Caenorhabditis elegans: one gene and its partner. The protein of the gene in region 1 purifies or fractionates together with the protein of each later gene. This does not show direct contact. Each region holds a gene or a part of one and is shown in the gene's direction. Other genes may lie near its edges.

What was found.
Region 2: the proteins of mtrr-1 (region 1) and mthf-1 fractionate together in Caenorhabditis elegans (co-fractionation; one large-scale study listed by BioGRID). This does not show direct contact.

Annotation. Positions count from the first base shown.
Region 1 is NC_003280.10:9,280,185-9,290,751, forward strand, and holds mtrr-1 (Methionine synthase reductase), read left to right. Parts: upstream 1-5,790; 5' UTR 5,791-5,793; coding exon 5,794-5,925; intron 5,926-5,994; coding exon 5,995-6,145; intron 6,146-6,312; coding exon 6,313-6,430; intron 6,431-6,474; coding exon 6,475-6,740; intron 6,741-6,857; coding exon 6,858-7,100; intron 7,101-7,216; coding exon 7,217-7,464; intron 7,465-7,510; coding exon 7,511-7,691; intron 7,692-7,974; coding exon 7,975-8,284; intron 8,285-8,333; coding exon 8,334-8,426; intron 8,427-8,475; coding exon 8,476-8,702; intron 8,703-8,750; coding exon 8,751-8,830; 3' UTR 8,831-8,948; downstream 8,949-10,567. UniProt on the Caenorhabditis elegans protein: Involved in the reductive regeneration of cob(I)alamin cofactor required for the maintenance of methionine synthase in a functional state.
Region 2 is NC_003280.10:7,771,775-7,782,341, reverse strand, and holds mthf-1 (putative methylenetetrahydrofolate reductase (NADPH)), read left to right. Parts: upstream 1-4,518; 5' UTR 4,519-4,592; coding exon 4,593-4,675; intron 4,676-5,836; exon of another isoform or gene 5,837-5,971; coding exon of another isoform or gene 5,972-5,991; intron 5,992-6,045; coding exon 6,046-6,120; intron 6,121-6,170; coding exon 6,171-6,543; intron 6,544-6,600; coding exon 6,601-7,338; intron 7,339-7,385; coding exon 7,386-7,799; intron 7,800-7,848; coding exon 7,849-8,003; intron 8,004-8,047; coding exon 8,048-8,201; 3' UTR 8,202-8,434; downstream 8,435-10,567. Other genes in the region: Spindly-like protein spdl-1, read right to left, coding at 1-10, 59-382, 429-671, 720-755; snpc-1.1 (snRNA-activating protein complex subunit 1), read left to right, coding at 1,133-1,230, 1,279-1,363, 1,414-1,491, 1,537-1,605, 1,651-1,860, 1,905-2,223, 2,285-2,366, 2,413-2,697 and 1 more; C06A8.6 (U2A'/phosphoprotein 32 family A C-terminal domain-containing protein), read right to left, coding at 8,477-8,578, 8,629-8,787, 8,844-9,026, 9,076-9,594, 9,641-9,727; cepr-104.2 (Centrosomal protein CEP104 N-terminal domain-containing protein), read left to right, coding at 10,325-10,431, 10,478-10,567.

The DNA of each region.
Region 1 (10,567 bases):
TCAAATTCAATCACGAGAGAAAAGGCAATCAGTGGTGTGAAAAGTACAATTATCGTTCAATCAAGTTTTAATAGAAAGAAAATGTGATCTTTCGGCCGCTATTCTGGGTCTTCAGAAATTTTGAAAAAAAAAATTGAAATCGTGAAAATTATAGTTTTTTTGATTAGCTAAAAAATTAAGTAAAAAGTTCCAGAAATATTTTTAAATTAAGAAAAACATTGTCTATAGTTTTTTTCCGTTTTCAAAGCCAAATTACTATCAGCTGCAGAAATGAATAGAAGAATAAGTAAGTGAAAAAAGAGAGACGGACAGGCACGATATTATCATTCATATTATCGAATAGATAATAAAAACGATCGATCGATCAAAAAATAAATCGGTCGACTGTCAATTGAAAAAGTGACGGAAAACGGTAGAAAAAGATTGACAACAATTGTTTTTTGTAGTTGATAATGGAAAAATGAAGGTGTCAAAGTATTTGATTTTAAATTGAAGATATGTTCATTTTATTTAAGGTGGAGTAGTGGGGATTTTGTAGAAATATAATTATAATAATCGAAAGTGATCATAATAAATAAAACAATTTTAGATTTTTTCTCAAAAAATTTTGGGTTTTTTGGTCGGCTTCCAAAACTATTTTACCTGATTTTTTACTGTTAATTTTTAAAAAGTCTCAAAAAATTGTAACGTTTTTCTACGATAGTAAAATATCTCAGAACTATATGAGAATTTTTAAACAATTTCCAATTTCAAAAAATAGCTACAAGGTTTTATTCTCAAGATTTCAATTCCCTCGTTGATGAATGACTGGACCCTTTTTGTGTACTTTAGTTTTTGAAAAAAGTTTATGTCAATATTGGTGTCGGACGGGAGACGACATATGGAGAGTTAGGGTAAGTGAAATGAAAAAAATGGGTTGCGAAAAGTTTTTTTTCCTAGAGGACAGCCCAAAAAATCGAGAAAAAAGCGGTGTGAGCTGAGGAAAACCAGAAAAAATTGACACAAAAATTATTATTTTCGAGAGTCGAAAATTGAAATGAATTAATTTAAATAATAGAGGAAAATTAAACTTTGAAAACATTTTTCATGATGAAAAATACACTTTTTTTTTGGAAATTTTTGAAAAATAAATAATAGTTAATGTTCCATTTCAACTTTTGTACTCAAAATCTCCACAACAAGTCTACAAAAATACGAAAAAAAACCCAAAATAACTAGTTGCCTGGAAACAAGAAAACGTGAGCCAAAAATAGATAAAAATCGTAAAATAAATTGTAGTCTAGAAAAAAAGTAGATAATACTAGTCTAGCAGAGCATGTTTCTCCAATTTTCTTCAATTTTCACATAAAACTACAGTATCTGCCTTTTTTGGACAAAGTGGGCTTTGAAAATTGGTGAAAAGTGCTGCTCAGCGACCCCATAAAATACATTTATGACAGGCAAATGCCAAGAAATTTTGGTAGTCCGTGGGGCTAATTGATAGAGTTACTTTTCATAAAATTATTGGATAATTTCCACACACACGCAGAAAATTGCTAAGAGCAATGGAGCATCAGGAAAAAAGCGGAAAATTGTGTGTGTGGGGGAGAAATAATGGATGTGTCGTTGTGTGTGTGTGTATTTGCGAGAGAAAAGAAAAAAGAAAACGAACTCTTAGAGTGAGAGAGAAAAGATGATTGCGAAATGTTTTCCCCGTTTTTTCACATTCTTTTCCTTCGTTCAGAAACCTTTTCTACAGTATCCCCATTGGATTGAAAATTGTAAATTGTGCGTAGGTTGTTCAGAAAATGAGGAATTTACAGAACAATATTGATTATTTCATATTTTTCGTCAATAGTTTTCCGTAAAAAGTTGAAAAAAAAACTATAAAATACGGAATCTGTTCAGCAGCTGGAAAAAACTGGTGCCAGGTGTCACTAATTGATTTTTTTCTTTTTTGTTTTCATAAAGTATGATTCATAACTTTTTGAAGGAATAATTGAACAAAACAAAGACCACTGAAATTATTTAATTTGATTGAAAAAAAAGTCTAGTTGAGTCACGATTCCGAGAATTTCATTTAACTTCCAAAAGTGACCAAAATTAAACACCAAGAAATTTCACATTAGTAATTCCAAAAATATGCATAATAAATTTGAAAATATACTACTCGTGACATTTTCTTTTTCTAAAATTTCATTAGCAACGAATAATGAAAAATTGGAAATTTTTCTGAATTTTATATAATAGTTGACTACTTATAAAAAATTAAAAGACCAAGGGCACTGAAAATTAGAAAATAACGAACATTTCTTTTCGCAAAAAGTATTATATGATATTAAAAAATCATTAATAAAAATTCAAAAACAAAACAAATTGGATTATTTTTGATGTTTTTTTTTCTAATTCTGAACTAAAATATTTAAATTTACATAAAATAAATTGAATTTTGTATTGTATTTCAGTTATTTTAAAAATCATTATTCTAAAATCCAAAATGTTGAACTTCTGAACGAAAATTGCGCGGAATTTATAAAAGTAAGTAGTTAAATGTTAAAAGATTCTCATAAAATAACAAAATTAGCGGAAAAAATCTACTTTTCAAATCTACGAAAAAAAACGTGAGATAAATGTCTATTCAACAAATTCTGCCGAAGATGGTTGAGGCACACACACACACAACCACAGACACTCTCCATCTCTCTAACGTCGCTTTTTCGTTTTTCGTCGTGCTGCGCCCCCTATCCCCACACATTTCTCAATCAATAGACGAGAGAAACCAGAGAGATGCATCAGACACCGTATACTTGATGAAAGAGCATGTAAAAAGTGGAGACTCGAGACACGGGCGGTCTCTTATGTGCGAGTGTGTAAGTGAAGGATAGCGAGGAAATAGCGTTTGCAAGAGAGAGGTGGCCGCAACGAGTCTCTATTGCCTACGAAACGAACTGGCCTGCCCTTGTGTCTTTCCTTCCCTTCAACATTGAGTCTATAGTACATTTTTGTTATATAGATATATACATACATGCTTATGTATAACAGTGCTTTGTTCGTTTAACTAAAAGAGTTTTTGTGCTTAAATATCTTACAATTTTTGAGTAATTCTTATTTTAAATTATTCGAAAAAAGCATACACTTACTAAAAAGTTAAATTATTTTAGTAATTTCTAATTTTTAAGCGCTCTCAAGCTTCTTACTATTAGATGTAGTCAGAAATATAAATTATATTTCTCTCAACTTTTAAGTCAGAAAAGAGCCGTCTCCATTAGAAAATCAACCGACATACTGTAGCTTTATGTGCATGGGAGAAATTTGTAGAAAAGATCGTAAATAGAATGGATTTGTACCCTTTTCTATTTTTTTAAATTGTTCTTGGAGGAATTTTTTGTATCTCATTTCTTGGACTATAATTTTCAAATTGAAAATTTCTAGTAGAGACGAATTTTGAGATAATTTACTGATTGATTTCTAAAACCCGTTGACTAAATTCTATCCAATTAGAGAATAGTCTAGTTGACGTCATTTTTAAATTAAGATACCGTAACTTTCGAAGTCTAAACCACATCCCGTTATTACTGCGAACCAAAACTAAAATAAACAATTCTTGATAAACTAAAAACAAAATATTGATGATAATGATCTAACCAACGGAACGGAATGCCCTTGTCTCTTCTCTTCTGTAACCCTGACATATTTAGTAATAGGAAACCAGTTCTCCGCGTCGTGCCTTCATTTTTCGAGACGATTACTGCCAAAATTAGTTGGGGTGTTAATTGAACTAGTTCGAATAGATTCGAATTTTTCGTTTGCTGATTTGAATATTGAAAAATGAATGAAATCCGGAAATTTGTTTGATCTCTAATTTGTGACTTATTCCGGAACTTTTTCAGATAAAAACATTTTAAGACAAACAATTTTTCGAATTTTTATTTCTTTTCATGTGTAATCTTTGACACATGTTTTAGAGGAATTGTACACATATTGATGTGTTATTCCAACTAAACAGCTGCCCCTAACCCTCTTCAAGACACCATCATCATCATTTCTCTTATCAAAAGGGTCTCGTGATTCTCTTGTCATTGACACAACCCCTTCGAACCAGTCAGCGATCAATTGCTGTGTTTTTGCACGTGCGTCTTCGAATTTTTATTTTACATTAACTAGAGGGTTCAAGGTTTTGACCTGATTTTTTTGTTTTTGGACTTTTTGAAACTGTACACGGAATGCACGTTAAAGAAATCGATATCAAAATTTTATATGATATTTTATTCTAACTAACCCTTTCGAAAGTTGACTAATATTAGGAATTTTCAAATAATTGTCATCCGTAACCACCCACATCGTTCAAATCTTGCGGCGCCGAACTTTCTCCTTGCCGAATCTGAGCCCATTGTTACACTACGACGGCAGACGAAACAGAAGATTTCTAATTCAAACAAGGTCGAATCGACGTTTAAACCCCCTTCTCTGCAGCCAATGACGAAGCAACATCAATTGTCGAGGACTAGTCTTGATAAGAAGAACGCGCTCTCTCTGTAGAGTTTTCTAATTCGATTTGATTTTAATAGGCTCTGTGACACACACACACACTCCCACAATTCATATATATCAATTACAGTACAACTACCCAATTACCGCCGTTTTTGTTTTGTGGGCGGAAATTCGAATCGTATCGAGTTTGTTATTGATAAAAAGTATCTACGAGGACTGAAAAAAACATTCAAATTAATTTTGATTACAGATTTATACAGCTTTTTCAGCTATAAAAGTGCATTTCCTACGTTTAGCTACTCCGGAACAGAACTGGATGATTCACGGGAAGACATGTCTTTTCCCAGTTTCTTTTCATCACTTTTGATAGCACTTGACATAGAAAAAAAAAGAAGTGGTGTATTGGATATGTTTACATTCGAGAGGAGAGGTTGCCACTTGCGGGCTGACGATATTCGCCGACGTCTCTTTCCGCCGCAGACAATTTGTTTATATAAACAGTGAGAGCTACGGAAGATCGGAACAGTGAGAACACGAATGGAGAGGGAGAAATTTGAGATTGGGCACGGCAGATTTTCAGGTTTTTCGACATGAAAACAATCGGAAGAGGAATTAGAGACTCATAAAAGTGTGGAGATATAAAAATTTGATTGAAAAATATGGGAAAATGATTCAAAATTAGAGAAAAAACTTGAAAACGAAAAGTAAATTCAAAAACAAAACAGAAACAAAATACCGTAACTTTAAAGGAGCATGCTTCGGAAAATGTTCAGGTCTCGTCACGATCCGCAGTCACCATGACGGAAAAATGCAGATTGTCTGCTTTCAAAACTTTTTTTTTACTTTTTTGCTTTGTTTAGGTATTTCTTCGAATAAAAATGTTTTTTACAGCTTCCCGTTCAATATTTCAAAAACTTAATTCAACTTTGAAATTTTCCCCTTAAAAATTCTCGTCCATTACGCGCCCGACTTGCACTTTTCATATTTCGTCATAAAAATAATGATGCAAAACTTGTTCGGCTATTAAAAAAGAACTAATCTCTTTTAAATGAAGATTAGAAAGAATTTATAGTTGCCATGATTCAAAAAATAAAAACTATTTACTCATTCCAAAAGAGAGACACGTTGAATACAATAATTTTAACAAAAAATGGAAAAACAGTGATAATGTTAGTGTTATTCAATCTTTGAAAGATCACAATTTGCCATCATTGTCTTGTTGAACAGACAAGATTACAATCTGACCAATATAATGTCCTTTTCCGCCAGAATTATACGTTGCCTGCGTTAAAATTTTCTCTACAATAAATCGATTTTCAGGAAATGACAGATTTCCTCATTGCTTTTGGCTCACAAACTGGGCAAGCGGAAACTATCGCTAAAAGTTTAAAGGAAAAAGCAGAGTTAATCGGATTAACGCCAAGACTTCACGCTCTGGATGAAAATGAGAAGAAAGTACGTTTTTTTTAACAATTTGTTTTTTATAATCATTGGAAATTTAAATTAATTTATTTAACTTTTCAGTTCAATTTAAATGAAGAAAAACTGTGTGCAATTGTCGTTTCATCAACTGGCGATGGAGATGCACCGGATAATTGTGCACGTTTCGTGAGAAGAATTAATAGAAATTCACTGGAAAACGAATATTTGAAGAATCTGGATTACGTTCTTCTCGGTGAGAGTTTTGAAAACCGCAAATTGAAAAAAGAGAAATCAAAATTCAAAAAAGCCAATGACTAATCATCATTCTGATAAGAAGTTCAATGTCTTGTGTTCTTGCACTTTATTATTGCAAACTCAAAAATTAACTTTTAAATTATTCTGAAAAGGAACTATTTCCAGGTCTCGGCGATTCCAACTATTCATCTTATCAAACGATTCCTCGAAAAATTGACAAACAACTGACAGCTCTCGGTGCAAATCGTCTTTTTGATCGTGCAGAAGCAGACGATCAAGTGGGGTTTGGTTTTATTTTATATTCAGAGGATGTAATTCCTCTTTCAGACTTGAACTAGAAGTTGAACCATGGATCGAGAAATTCTTTGCAACACTGGCATCCAGATTCGACATTTCCGCCGACAAAATGAATGCAATTACGGAATCATCAAACTTGAAATTGAATCAAGTTAAGACTGAAGAAGAAAAGAAAGCGTTACTTCAGAAACGAATAGAAGATGAAGAATCAGATGATGAAGGAAGAGGAAGAGTTATTGGAATTGATATGTTGATTCCCGAGCATTATGATTATCCCGAAATTTCTCTTTTAAAAGGTGAATAACCGTTTTGAAAGTGGAATAATCAGTTCTAGTTTTGAAAAAAACTGTTTTTGTCAAGTGTCACACATAGAAACATTCTCCAAAAATTTGAAATCAAAACTTAACTTACAGGATCGCAAACCCTCTCGAACGATGAAAATTTGCGCGTTCCAATTGCTCCTCAACCTTTCATCGTCTCGTCGGTTTCTAATCGAAAACTACCAGAAGATACCAAATTGGAATGGCAAAACCTGTGCAAAATGCCTGGAGTCGTCACGAAACCATTCGAAGTTCTTGTAGTCTCTGCTGAATTTGTGACTGATCCATTTTCCAAGAAAATTAAAACGAAACGGATGATCACTGTCGATTTCGGAGGTAGGGTTTTTTTGAAGAAAACAGTTAAAATCAGTTGATTCGTTAAAAAATTTGAAGTAATTGGAATTATTCTGCTATAATTTCTTGGAAGTAAAAAATCATTTTTTAATTTTCAGATCATGCTGCTGAACTTCAATACGAGCCGGGAGATGCCATATATTTTTGTGTTCCAAATCCAGCACTTGAAGTCAATTTTATCCTTAAAAGATGCGGAGTTTTAGACATTGCTGATCAACAATGCGAGCTTTCAATTAACCCGAAAACTGAGAAAATCAATGCTCAAATTCCGGGACACGTGCACAAAATTACAACTCTCCGTCATATGTTCACCACGTGTCTAGACATTCGTCGGGCTCCAGGAAGAGTGAGTTCATATTTTATGAATCAAAATTAAAAGTAGTTTTCTTCAGCCGCTGATTCGTGTACTCGCCGAAAGTACATCTGATCCAAATGAGAAAAGACGGCTTTTGGAGCTTTGCAGTGCTCAGGGAATGAAGGATTTCACCGATTTTGTTAGAACACCCGGATTGTCATTGGCTGACATGCTTTTCGCATTTCCAAATGTGAAGCCACCGGTTGATAGACTAATCGGTGAGTTGTTTAGTTGAAAAAATAATAAATAAATAAAAATAATTACTTGAATTTTAAGTTAGGTTCATTATTCTAATTCATTTGACGTTGCAGATTTTTTAAATAAAAAAAAACGTTATCCAGTTATTAAAACAAAATTAAAATTTTTTACCGATATTTTAAGCTAAATAAAGAAGTTGTTAAAAAAAACTACATTTTGAGCGGAATTTTAAGTTTTTTGAAATTTCAAAGTTTAAGAACAACAATGTTGCTAACACTTTCTTTACAAATTTTTACGTTTCAGAACTTCTTCCACGGCTTATCCCACGTCCGTACAGTATGTCATCATATGAAAACCGAAAAGCCCGTCTGATCTATTCGGAAATGGAATTCCCAGCAACAGATGGACGTCGACATTCGAGAAAAGGACTCGCAACTGATTGGCTCAATTCTTTGAGAATTGGAGATAAAGTTCAAGTTTTGGGAAAGGAACCGGCTAGATTCAGACTTCCACCTCTTGGAATGACAAAGAATTCGGCTGGAAAACTGCCATTATTGATGGTTGGACCAGGAACTGGAGTCTCGGTATTTCTGTCATTCCTGCATTTTTTGAGGTAAAATAAGTTCAATTTTTAATGTTTCTAATTGATTTTTAATTTCCAGAAAATTGAAACAAGACTCTCCATCGGACTTTGTCGATGTTCCACGTGTTCTCTTCTTTGGATGTCGTGATTCTTCTGTAGATGCAATTTATATGTAAGTCCTTCCTTGATTCGTGAAAGAAAAACGTAGTTTGAATTTTCAGGAGCGAACTTGAAATGTTTGTAAGCGAAGGCATCCTCACTGATCTAATCATCTGTGAAAGCGAGCAAAAGGGTGAAAGAGTTCAAGATGGCTTAAGAAAATATCTCGACAAGGTTCTTCCATTTTTGACAGCATCGACAGAGTCGAAAATTTTCATCTGTGGAGACGCAAAAGGAATGTCTAAAGATGTTTGGCAATGTTTCTCGGATATTGTTGCCAGTGATCAAGGTAGGTTAAAAAAAGGAAATTTACAATGGTTATTGTTTACTTTTTTAGGAATTCCGGACTTGGAAGCGAAGAAGAAGCTTATGGATCTGAAAAAGAGTGATCAATACATCGAGGATGTGTGGGGATAGTATACTTAATTTTTATAGGAATTGTTTATTGCCATGGGTATTTTATTTGTTCACTTTATTGTGTTATTTATGTGATCTGGTGTTCTTTAGTTTAATATAATGAAGTTGATTGTTCGCTTTTTATGTACAACCAAAAATGGAATTTATTATGACAAAAGAATTAGGTTACTGGAATGGCTCTGCTAATTAAACTGATGTTTGATCGCTTTTTGCAAGATTTTACCAAGTTCGTAGCTTTTTCACAAAAACTGGGGCTCGTCACGTGGTGTAAAAGTGCCTCATTTTGTTTTGATCTTCGAGAAATGCGGGAGATGATTTTTTTCCTGGGGGGAAAATTCCCGCATTTTTTTTGTAGATCAAACCGTAATTGGACAGCCTGACGATGGGCTCAGTGCATTTTTTTGAGTAAAAGTCTTTAAAAAATTATTTTCACAGGAATTTTCCGTATTTAATTTCCAAACTTAATTACACTTTCATAAAGTGTCTTTCCAATGTTTATATGTCATCATTGCAGCATCTGTCTAACAATTCCTACAAGCGATACATTCATTATGACAGCCCCTGACAGTCTCCTCGACAACCTGATGCCACATCAAAAAGATTCGCTCAACTCGCTCATGTGGCGAGAAATTCAAGCCCAACCTGGAGGAATTCTAGCCGATGAGATGGGGCTGGGAAAAACACGATCCATGATTGCGCTGATTATCCAGAGGAAACTGGAAATGAAACAAAAACGGCAGGAGACAGTATGGAACGATGAAAAACGAGTAGATGTTGCAAAGAAACATGGGTTGTGTCCGTTGGAAAACACTCTTATAGTCGTACCACCGATTTTGGTGAACTATTGGGTAGAAGAAGTGAAACATCTTGCAGCTCCGGATTTTATTTCGATTTTCGTTTATACTGGGAACAAGAGTGGACAGTTGACCCCTGAGAGCCTTGGCTCATTTGACATTGTGATTGCAACATACCGCCTGGTATCAAAGGAAGTTCTAAAGAAGCCCACAAGTTCAAGAGACGAGGAAATTGATGACGATGCAGGTAAGCCACACTCTTAGCTTCATATATTTGTAACATGAAAAAAGAGAACATCTTGACTGAAATATGAGTGAAAAGAGGCGGAGCTTCAGAAATCACGCCCAACTTGTGGGCTGCCCAACTTTAAAATCCCAATTATAATTTGTTTTTTTTTCAGAAAATGATGGAAAACACAACACAATTCTGCTGAACGAAGACTCAATTCTCGCTCGCATTGCATGGATGCGCATAATTCTCGATGATGCTCACTTCACAAAGAATACAAGCTATTTGCTTGCTCTCATCCTTTTCTAGATGGTGTCTCACGGGAACTCCGATTAATAATAACTTATGGGACTTATTCAGTCTTGTTAGGTTCCTGTCGTCTTCCATTTCTTCGTGAAGCTGTATTCTGGAAACATTGTGATTGCAATGCCAGAGTGGGTCAGATTTTGCTACTCTCATTAGAATCCGGTGGAGTTGGACTCAACCTGACCAGCGCAAGTCATATGATTATGATGGATGTCCATTGGAATGCTGCTCTTGAGCAGCGAATATACGATAGAATTCACCGAATTGGACAAGTGAGAGATGTCTTCAACCATAGGTAATTTGAACCAAAATATTAATTTCAAAAACAAAATTGTTCCCGAAATTGTATTTAAATTTTAAAAATTAGATATTCCGAGTAGATTGCTTTCGTTTTTGAAAAATTAGATT
Region 2 (10,567 bases), 1.5 Mb from region 1:
CATCAATAACCTGAAGAATATTAAAAAAAATGCAGTTAATTGATATTTTTTAACCTACCTCAGAAAACATTGAATTTCCGCGTGCCGCTAATTTTCCTTCATGGGAGTTTCTCTCATCAAAAAGCTCTCCTTCCAATCTGGCAATTTCCTCATCACGCGTCTCCATATGATTTTTGAGGTCCCGAATATGATCCATCATCGACTCAATTTCATCTTTCAAGTTGACCGCTTCTTTTTCGAGTTCGGCGTTTCGTTCGTAAAGAGCAGTCGCCGTCTCTTTGTATTTCTGACAATCTTCGCTAATACGAAGCATTTCAGATTCTCCGAAGGAATTGGAATCATCATGTTCGGGAATCACTGATCCGTTGGCAAACTCCTTATTCTGAGAATTCAATATATTAATGTTGCCCACAATGATGAAAACCTACAATTTTTTCGAGTTTGTCGATCTCACTACGCAGTGAATCGATGAGAGCGTCCCGATCAAGAATTGTGGCGTTTTTTCCGTCCATCTCAACATGAAGATCGCGAAGTTGTTCACTCAATTCTTGTGCACGTTCTTCGAGTGAAAGTTTGGAAGAACAAGGTTTTCCCTGATTTTTGAGATCGTCTTCCATCTCCTCGAGCATTTCATCTTTTTGACGGAGAATTTTCTTGAGCCTCTCAACGTCCTGAAATATTAGGTTTAGTTGGTAATAGATGAAATGATAAAACGTTACAGCAAGTAATTGGAGCTTCTCCTCGTCGTCAGGCATACTGATTGAAGTTCGATTCTTCTGAAAACATGAAAATGTTTCGATAGAAAACGATCAGTAGAATATTTTTCACGGCAACACGATTTATAAGAACGTTTCACGCAGATCTATAGCTTTTGATGTTTTAATAAAGCGTAAAATTGATTGCGAATATATTTAAACTAATTTTATGGGAATATTTTGAGCTAAATTATATCAAAACGATTGAAAAACAATATTTTTAGGTAAATTGAGGCGCAACTCATTTTGAAATGCGTTGAATACCGCTGGTTCCCGCCGAGAATTGGTTGTTCACGATAGAGCGCACTTGCATGTTTTTATTTTCGTCAATTATTTTCGGATTTATTTCTGAAGATTCAAGGAAAAAACGAGTCGCAATGGCTTCTGGAGGTATTCCCACGCCATTTATGGGAACTGGAGTTAAACAAGATCTTCATTTATTGTGCAACAAGTTTATATCTATGGGATCCAACAGGTATAGTTAGAAAATGTATTATTTGATGGAAAATCTTGATTAATTAAGAATTCGAGACTTTGCTGATGTTTTTCGGGATATGCATTTTGAGACCATTCTTCATTATCGATTAAATCCTGCCGAATGCTTAGAGGTAGCTTTATTTTGATTTTATTTAGTCTATTATAATATTCCGGCTTTCAGTTTACTGAATACCTGTTACAACACGCAGCAATGTATTTCGGAAAAGTGAATGAAGTTGGAGCATTCAGGGCATTCAAGGTTTGAAATAGAAGTAAAAATAAGTCTGAAATGTTATATTTTCAGGAGAGGCTATTCGGAGTTTATGTTTGCTATGCGTTGTACAATTTGCAGCCAGTTGATCATGTCTGTCAGGTGATTAATTCTAAGTTTAATTTAGTTTTAAAAAATTTAATTCAGATTCCGGTCACTGCGGTACAATTCGAAGAGCTTCTCGAATTTCAAAAATCTTTAGAAGTCGAAAAACTTCTTGAACCAATTGCGGCTCTCAAAATGCTTATTCTGAAGAAAGCGTTTAGAATTAAAGTGTTTCAGTCGACATATGATCCGGCAACCCACAAAAAATACCTTGCCGAGGAAGAGTTGCCCTATTTTAACAAAATTCCAGTTGTAAGTAAGTTAAATTATTGGAATTTTTTCATAAACAGTTTCAGGAGCCGTTTTCCAGTGTTACGAAAATGCTCAGTTCTGATATTATGACGGAATTATCATTTATTCACGGAGTTTACACAGAGGCTAAGCAAAAACTTGGACTAAGTGATACTCTAACGGGGCTCAAATCACCATTACACGAAATCAAGGGCATTGTCGAAAAATATAAAGAACAGTTCGAAAGTTCTCCAACAAATCCAGAAATTAGTAGCGCTCCAGAGGAAACAGCTGGTTCAAGCAGATCAACTTTGAGAAGTAAAGCATATGCTGAAGGACTAAAACACACTAGACAAAGAAGGCATCTTGATCCAAACATGGAAGGTACATTTATTACACGAAAATATGTTTTTTTTTTTCAAAAGTCAGCGTTCAACTTTTGCAGAAAACTTCAAACATCTTACCGCAAGAACGTTTGGTGACATCGCCCAGGAATGTTTGGATGATAATGATGCTCAGGTTCCAATGTAAGCAATTACAGTTTAACCCCAAAATAATAACCTATTTTTACAGCCCGATTGATCGCCCTGTAAGACAACGGCGACGCAGAAAAACGACAACAGTTAATCCTGAAGAGTTATTAGACGATAATGCATTGGCTGAAGAAGTTCTACGAAATGAGTATGCTGCCAGAATAAAGCCTGAAATACCTGAAGATTCATTGGGCGGTAAAGTAGGCAAGCAGGGAACATCGGGAGTTGCAAGAATTCGGGCACCAAAACGTGCAAATGCGAAATTGGTTGAAGTGAAACGAGAACAAATCCCACAAACTTCTGCTCCGATAACTGCTTCCCAAATGTAAGTGAAGATTTTTGTTTTTTTCTTCAATTAAAAATTATTAAATTATTCAGTGACGAATCATTCACATCGCCTGCGAACAAGAAGAACAGAAAATCGGCCAGCGTAGTTGAAGTGAAACCTCGAATCAGTGATGAATGGGCCAACAAACTGCACGCATGGCATGGACAAGTCGAGGCTACGGATAAACATTTGAAAAAGTTGACAAGTCAAATTAAGCTGGAAGTTATTGAAGACGAAGAAACATAATCATTTCATTTTCCTTGCTAACCATTTTTTTTAATGAAAATTATACTACATGAATTTTTTTTTTGAAAATTAAATTAAATTTGCTGCTGAGTTGCCTATCATCTCCGACTTTTGTTATTTTATTAATCTCTGTTGGTTCAATCTTTTCAATCTTATACTTTTATCTGTCCAACTTCCAATTATCACCAGTGATAAATCGCCGCAAAAGACCAATTGAAATGGCCTGATATCGTGCATTACATGATTATTTCATACAGTTATCATCTTGTGCTGTAGCCCATTCGTGAAAGCATTGAGTGCACTTTTCAGAATCTTGTTGTAGTTCTACTGAAAATTGGTTTTAATCCTATAGGATAAAATTTTCGTTTGTGATGGGAAGGCAGTATTGAGAAATTGTGGTTTTCGTTTGAAAACGTACTATGCTAAAGTTCTCTTCAAATGACGATTAGTTCAAGGTCTTGCTTAGTTTCCCATTCTTTCTTGAGATACTATCAAATAGTAACTATCTACGACTTTCTTACTTATCCTTTTTTTCTAGAACGCATCCGTATTTTCTCAGTTACTCTTGCACCAAATAACTTATATGACTGCAGATATCAGAAAATATTTAATATGTTATAAAAACTACAAAAAAAAAATTTTGTTTTGAGAAAACAACAGAATTTTCAAAGTTGAATAATAGAGCAAATACCTAAATGCTAAATTTCGCTGTTTAAAAATTACGGTACCCGGTCTCGAAACGGCCAATAATTTTCAGTGAAAGGAGAGGAGTGCGGTTTTAAGGAGTACCGTTGTTCAATTTTTCTTAGTTTTCACACTCACTGTTTATTAAAAATTGAAGCTTAAAAAACAGGAAACGATAAAAAACTAAGAAATCAGCAAACTGCTGAAACTACTGTACTCTTTAAAGGCGTACACTTGTTTTTGTTGACATATTTTTAATCGTGTCAGGTACCGTACAACATGGCACTGGCATCTCCATATAAACATCACTGCATAAGACAAACAAAGAGAAGTTCCACGTTGAACTATTTGGCAAATTTTTGGCAAAACATTATTGTTGTTGCCCCGATAACAACCCAACCAAATCGTTCACAGGTCATCATGCACCAAAATATTGTTAATACTCATTTGTTATCAAATTAAAAGACTTCCCCACTCACTTTTTCTGCTTCAAATACCGCTATTTTCAAAAAATGTTTCGATTTATCTTTTTTGTCTTTTGTAAGAATCCGATTTCTATGAAGGAATCGGCGCCCCGCTGAGAATGTGTATTGCTTCATGTATGCAAAAGTGCACTGAGTGCCACGACGAACGCTTTAGTGAGAGAACGAGAGACCCAGCATGCTATGTTCCTTCTATATAAATATTGAACAAAACAAGTGGTTTTATGCCAGAAGCACGTTTGTTTCTCATTTTCTTGTCATTTTTGCTTAGATTAAGAACATTTAGCGGACATTGATAGTTCTATGACTTCTCTTTTTTCCAATTTACCAACCGTTTGCCACCTTAACGCTCCGCCCTTTTCTCTGATTGTATAAAAGAATCGGACTTAATACGAGCAAATTTCAGTCGGTGAATCTCATCAAACAACGGATTCGTGGTTCCCGACAGAGAATAACTACGGTTAAAACGAACCAAGGAAAATGACGAATACTGGAGAAACTAAAGTTATTGAATCTCATGGAACCATTAAGAAGATCGATTCTCTGTCCACAATGCCATATTGGTAGGTTCTTTATATTAATCTTCTAAACTTAGAGCATCTTTTTATGTCTCAAAATGCTTTTAAAAAAAGCACTGAAATATGCCTCCTTTCTACCAATTCTACCTACTTGACCTCTATCTTATCAGAAGACATGTCTACCACCCATTTGTCCCACTGCGATCACAAACTGATCTCTTATCAGTGTCAACTGTTGGATACCATTGATATTCACGTGATTTGGGCATTTTTATATTGTTGAGAGTGAAAACCTTTCAAAAAAAAAATACAATTTCTGTTCAATTTCAAGAACTTGAAATTTTCAAAAAAAAAGCACGCTGATTATGGCTAAAGTTAGAATGTTTAGTTAAAAAAAAAGAAACATATGAGAAAATGCAGAAAATGACCTGAAAGTTGCCAATTACCGAAAAACAAAGCTTGATAATTCGACAATCGGCAATTTGCAACTTCCAAGTAATTTTTAAGCACTTTTTCAAAATTATCATCCGAAGTAAACTATATTTACAGCTAAATCGATTGATTTCCTATATTTTAAAACTAATTTTTAACGAAAAATGTCGGAGAAACATGGTGCATTTATATACTAGAATTGTCCAAAATATTTGCAAGTTGCAACCTTTTGAATCACAAATAGTATTTTTTTCAAAAATGAGCTAATTGACTTTTAGAAACATAGTAATTACTTATCGTTGCTAATGATTTCATCTCTTATCACCCCACAATATCTTATCAATGAAGGTGAACACGGCAGAGTACAAAACGTGTCTATTATCAGAAAAAAGTTTGTTAGTCCTCTGCGACACATTATTCTCTCTGCACTCGGAAAAGATCGAATACTGATCTATCAAATTTAAATCTAACCGTGTTTTCTTGCCTTCTAGGAGACAATTTGATCAGTATCTCTCTATTAAGTGGAACAAAAGACACCAAGCAAGAAATTTCCAAGGAAAAATACAGGGAAATAATTTATTCGATCCGAAATTTCAAACAAGAAAAAGCTAATATATCATTGATGATAGTGAATTATTATTTCGATGTAGCACTGTATTAGTTCAACATCAGCTTTTTGTTTTCCGAAGTTCTGAAAAATTTGAAAAAAAGTACTTTCCTACTGTGTCAGTATCAAAGAACAAGTTGTCCAAATCATAATTGTTACGTTCCTAGATCTCTCCCGAGATTCATATCGAATCACATGATGATTCTGGAGAAGATATATAACACTCCGCCCTTAGAATCCTGTTTGCCACATTTCTTCATTTGTCGCTAACAAATTTTGTTTCCTCGGAGACTCTAGTTGAAATGGCCGTTTTAAGTAAAAAGTGGGTTGTTGATTCAGGTTTTTTGATCGAATAATATAATATTTTGAATTTCAGTGGTGTTGAGACCGATGAGAATGCGGTTGTCGAGGAGAAGATAACTCTGGAATCTGGAAAGAGCTGGTCACCAAAGTAAGTTTTGATCAGATATAAAGCTATTACTAAACAAATTTATATTTCAGGCATTATGAACTTCTTCACGAGAGAATTGAACGTCTTATCGATGAGAAACAACAATTCTTCTCTCTTGAATTCTTCCCACCTCGATTTGTCAATGGAGTTCCAAACTTCTTAGAGCGTGTTGAACGTCTTTCCGAAGGTGGATCCGTCTTTGTCGATATGACATGGCATATGGGAAGTGATCCAGCTAACGTCGATAAAGTGACTTCATCGTCTTCGATTGCTGCTTCAATGCTTGATTATTGTGGAGTCGACACTATGTTGCATATGACTTGTGTTCAATACAATAAAGCTGATACTTTGAAACATCTCGAGCAAGCCAAGGCAATGGGATTGAGAAGTATTCTTGCTTTGAGAGGAGATCTCCCACCGGGCGTAAGTTAATCATGAAACAAGATTGTCAAAAAATTAAATAATATTTTTCAATTTTAGACTGAGCTCGAAGATACCCATCAATTCCGTGCACTTGATATGATCCGCTGGATCCGCGAAGAATATGGAAACTACTTCTCAATTGGTTGCGCAGGATATCCTCTTGGACATCCACAAGCTCCGTCTTACAAAGCTGATCTTATGTACTTGAAGGCAAAATGTGATGCTGGAGCAAACTTCGTCATTACTCAATTATTCTTTGAGGCTGAAACTTTCGAAAAGTTTGTGCGCGACTGCCGTGAAATTGGAATCACTCAGCCAATTATTCCGGGAATCATGCCAATTATGGGTTATGAGTCTATCAAACGTATTGCCAAACTCTCACAACTTGAGATTCCACAACATATTCTTGATGATCTCGAACCAATCAAGCACGATGATGATGCTGTTCAAAAGTACGGAACAGAGCGTTGCATTGAAATGTGCCGCCGTCTTCTTGACAATGGAACTGCCCCTTCCATCCATCTATACACTATGAATCGTGAAGGAAGTATTCGTGAAATTCTCAAATCTCTTGGTCTCTGGAAACTCGAGGGTGATCGTGTTTTCCCATGGAAAAATCGTTCGCAACATCCTATCAGATGTCTGGAAAGTGTTCGTCCAATTTACTGGAGTTTCCGCCCACGCAGTTACATCACCAGAACTCGTGATTGGGATCAATTCCCTAACGGAAGATGGGGAAACAGTTCATCGCCAGCATTTGGAGATGTCAGCAGCTACTACTTGTCTAATTTGACGGTTCGTTCAAAGATTGTGTTAGAACTTTCTCACAGATAAAATTTCAGACTGTTCGAAACGCCGATGACCGTCTAGCTATGTTCGGAGCCAACATCGAGAGTTTTGAAGACGTCAAGCGCGTGTTCATCAACTACATTACTCAAGCTCCAAACGCCGATGGCGTCAAGGTTACTGTACTTCCATGGACAGAAGCTGAAACTGGTGTTCAGCCAGAAACTTCATTGATCAGTGAACAACTTGTTTGGTGTAATGAGAATGGAATTCTGACCGTCAACAGTCAGCCATCAGTTAATGGAGCTCCATCCACTGATCCACTTGTTGGGTGGGGAAAACCAGGAGGTTACTGCTACCAAAAGGCATACCTCGAATGCTTCATGACCGCGGAGTTGTCCGACAAGCTCATTCAAATCATCGAGAGAGAATTCCCAGTCAGAGTTAACTACCATGCCATCAATAAGGATGTATGTTTAAAAAGTAATTTTAAAAACCATAAAATAAATTCTTCTTCAGAGTACCTTCGACAAGACCAACAGCGAAGAAACCACTCCGATTGCAGTTACTTGGGGAGTATTCCCAGGATCTGAGATTGCCCAGCCAACAGTCGTCGATCCACTCTCTTTCCGCGCATGGAGAGATGAAGCTTACCAAATGTGGATGGCCCAATGGTAAGGTATCTAATCACTCGTTCTGTCTAATTGTTTAATTTTAGGGGAGATTTTTATCCAAAAGAATCTAAATCATATGGAGTCATCAAGGCTGTTCATGATGAGTTCCGTTTGGTTACTCTCGTCGACAACGACTTCCAGAAGCCATCAGTTCTTTTCGACGTACTTCAAAAGGCCCTCGACGAGCTGAAAAAGTAAAAATCATCAAACTAATTTGACTTTTTGACACGTCTGATTTCAATTCATTCAATTTTCCACCACGATATTCACTTCCGTTGATGAAATACACCATTGGTTGGGACACTTCCCCTTATTCTCTATTACCAGTATTACCCTATTAAGTTTTAGCTTCAACAACCCCCGATTCAAAATCGCTCCCTCTTTTATTTTATTTATTTCCGGCTTCCTTGTTTAATAAAATATCAATAATCAAGAAATCTTCATCTAGTTGAATAAATGCTAAAGTTCAAGTATTAGACGGACTCAGTGGGATGATCATCAGACGGATTATCAAGTACAACACGCGAAAGCTCTGTCTCATTCTTCTCTTCTTTTGGTGGACGGAGCATCGAATGCTGAAATTAAAAAACAAATTGAAGATTAATTTAATTAAGTTTTAAATTACCTCACGGCACTGAGTTCCATCAAGACGAGTAATTTGTTGCAAGAGATGAATAACCTTTCCACGATAAGTATCCACTGATGCAATTGGATTGAAATCGAGGTAAACACTATTGAGTTGTGGAAGTTCAACCAATTCATCCATAATGCTCCAGTTATCCAACTAAAATTAACAAAGAATTGATTAGTTATGGAATGTAATCAAATGATCTATATTACCTTATTTCCTCTTGCCCAAAAGTCTGTAAGTGTCTTCAATTGATGGATATTCTCGACCTTCTCAAGACGATTCTGATTGAAATCCAGAATTTCAAGAGGAAGATGCTCATCGATTCCACAAACGTACTTGATGCCATTTTGAGCCAGATAAATCTCTTTCAAGTTGTGAAGTCCCGAAATGTTCTGAAATTTTGTTTTATAAGTGGTATTTAGAAAGAAGAAATAACTATACATCAACTACAGTAATCGCATTGGCTGGAAGACTGAGAACTGTGAGCTTCTTCAAATGATCAACATTTTCAATAAGACGAATCTGATTAGCGCCAAGGAACAATCTATCGAGTTTCAGATTGTTGTCGAGATTCTCGATTTTCGCAATTCTATTGTCACCCAATTCGAGATATTCCAGCTCAGTCAACGTATCCAAACCCTCGATTTTAGTGATTTTGTTATGAACAAAAAAGAGAGTCTTCAGTTTTGTCAACTTCTCCAAATTTTCAATTTTGGTGATACGATTGAATGACAGGTCGAGTGACTCCAAATTGACGAGGCTATCCAAGTTTTCAACTTTTGTAATTTGATTATCGTAAAACTCGAGATGAGTCAACGTTGTCAAACAATCCAGATTTTCAATCTTTTTGATCAGATTCCAACGAAACGAGAAGTGTTCGACGTGAGTGAGCCACGAATAATCACCGATTTCTTTGATACGGTGACGCGTCAAGTCAACGTTTTTGGCATCGGCCGGAATCTGTAATATGAGGTTCTCGGGAAGAACGAAAATAACAAAGGTTTACCTCAACATATTCGATATCTTCAGGTTCCACAACAATCTTTTCGAATTCTTTAACACCATCCTCTGAAGTGACACTGGTGACGTTCATAGCTAGAACCTTCCAACGATCTCGTAGAACAAGGGAATGATTAGCGAAGAGTTGTTAATTTGGAAAAAGAGGAAGAAACACGTTATGATGAAATTTACACAAACGAAGAGGTTACGTGAAATAAAATTTCAATATATCAATTAAATAGTTCTGTACGTTTTTACAGATTACTTTGTAGACAGTTCTTCTACATATCTAAATGAATTAGGCTTTACAGAGCAGTTTGATTGAACTCTAGATATACATCTTATACTGATTAGATATACTGATTAAAATATCATATTCGGTACCATCCGGTGCCTTTCGAGTCTACTTCCAACTGGCTGAAGTTCAAATTCGACCATCCCTGCGAAACTTACTCCTAAAATATAATTTTTTAAAGATCCAACTGCACATGAAGGATACTGTAACAGTAGACAATTTTAATAACTAGATATCAGAGTACACCTAGAAAATTTTTAAACATCACCAACCGTTTCCATATACTTGCTGTTTTTTCCTTGTTTCTACGACTTTTGTTTTAAATATTGAATAATTCACATCTTCTATTGCCACTTATCCTTTTTTTCTTCAAAAACTCAATATTCAACACTTTACATGCCTCTTCCATTTTCAATAATCTCTACAACTTCCCAAGATGTTTTGGAAGATGCTGACTCGGATGAAGAAGCTGAAACATTTTATGTCAATTGGATAACTGAAAAGTTCTTGCTTTTTAAATTCGAAAGTTTTATTATAAAAATATTTCAGAAACCATTCGTTTCCACAATCAATGGTATTAGAGCTCGAAGAAGAAAGTCTCGTCAGCAGTGTTAAGCTAATTGTTCATAAAGATTATCC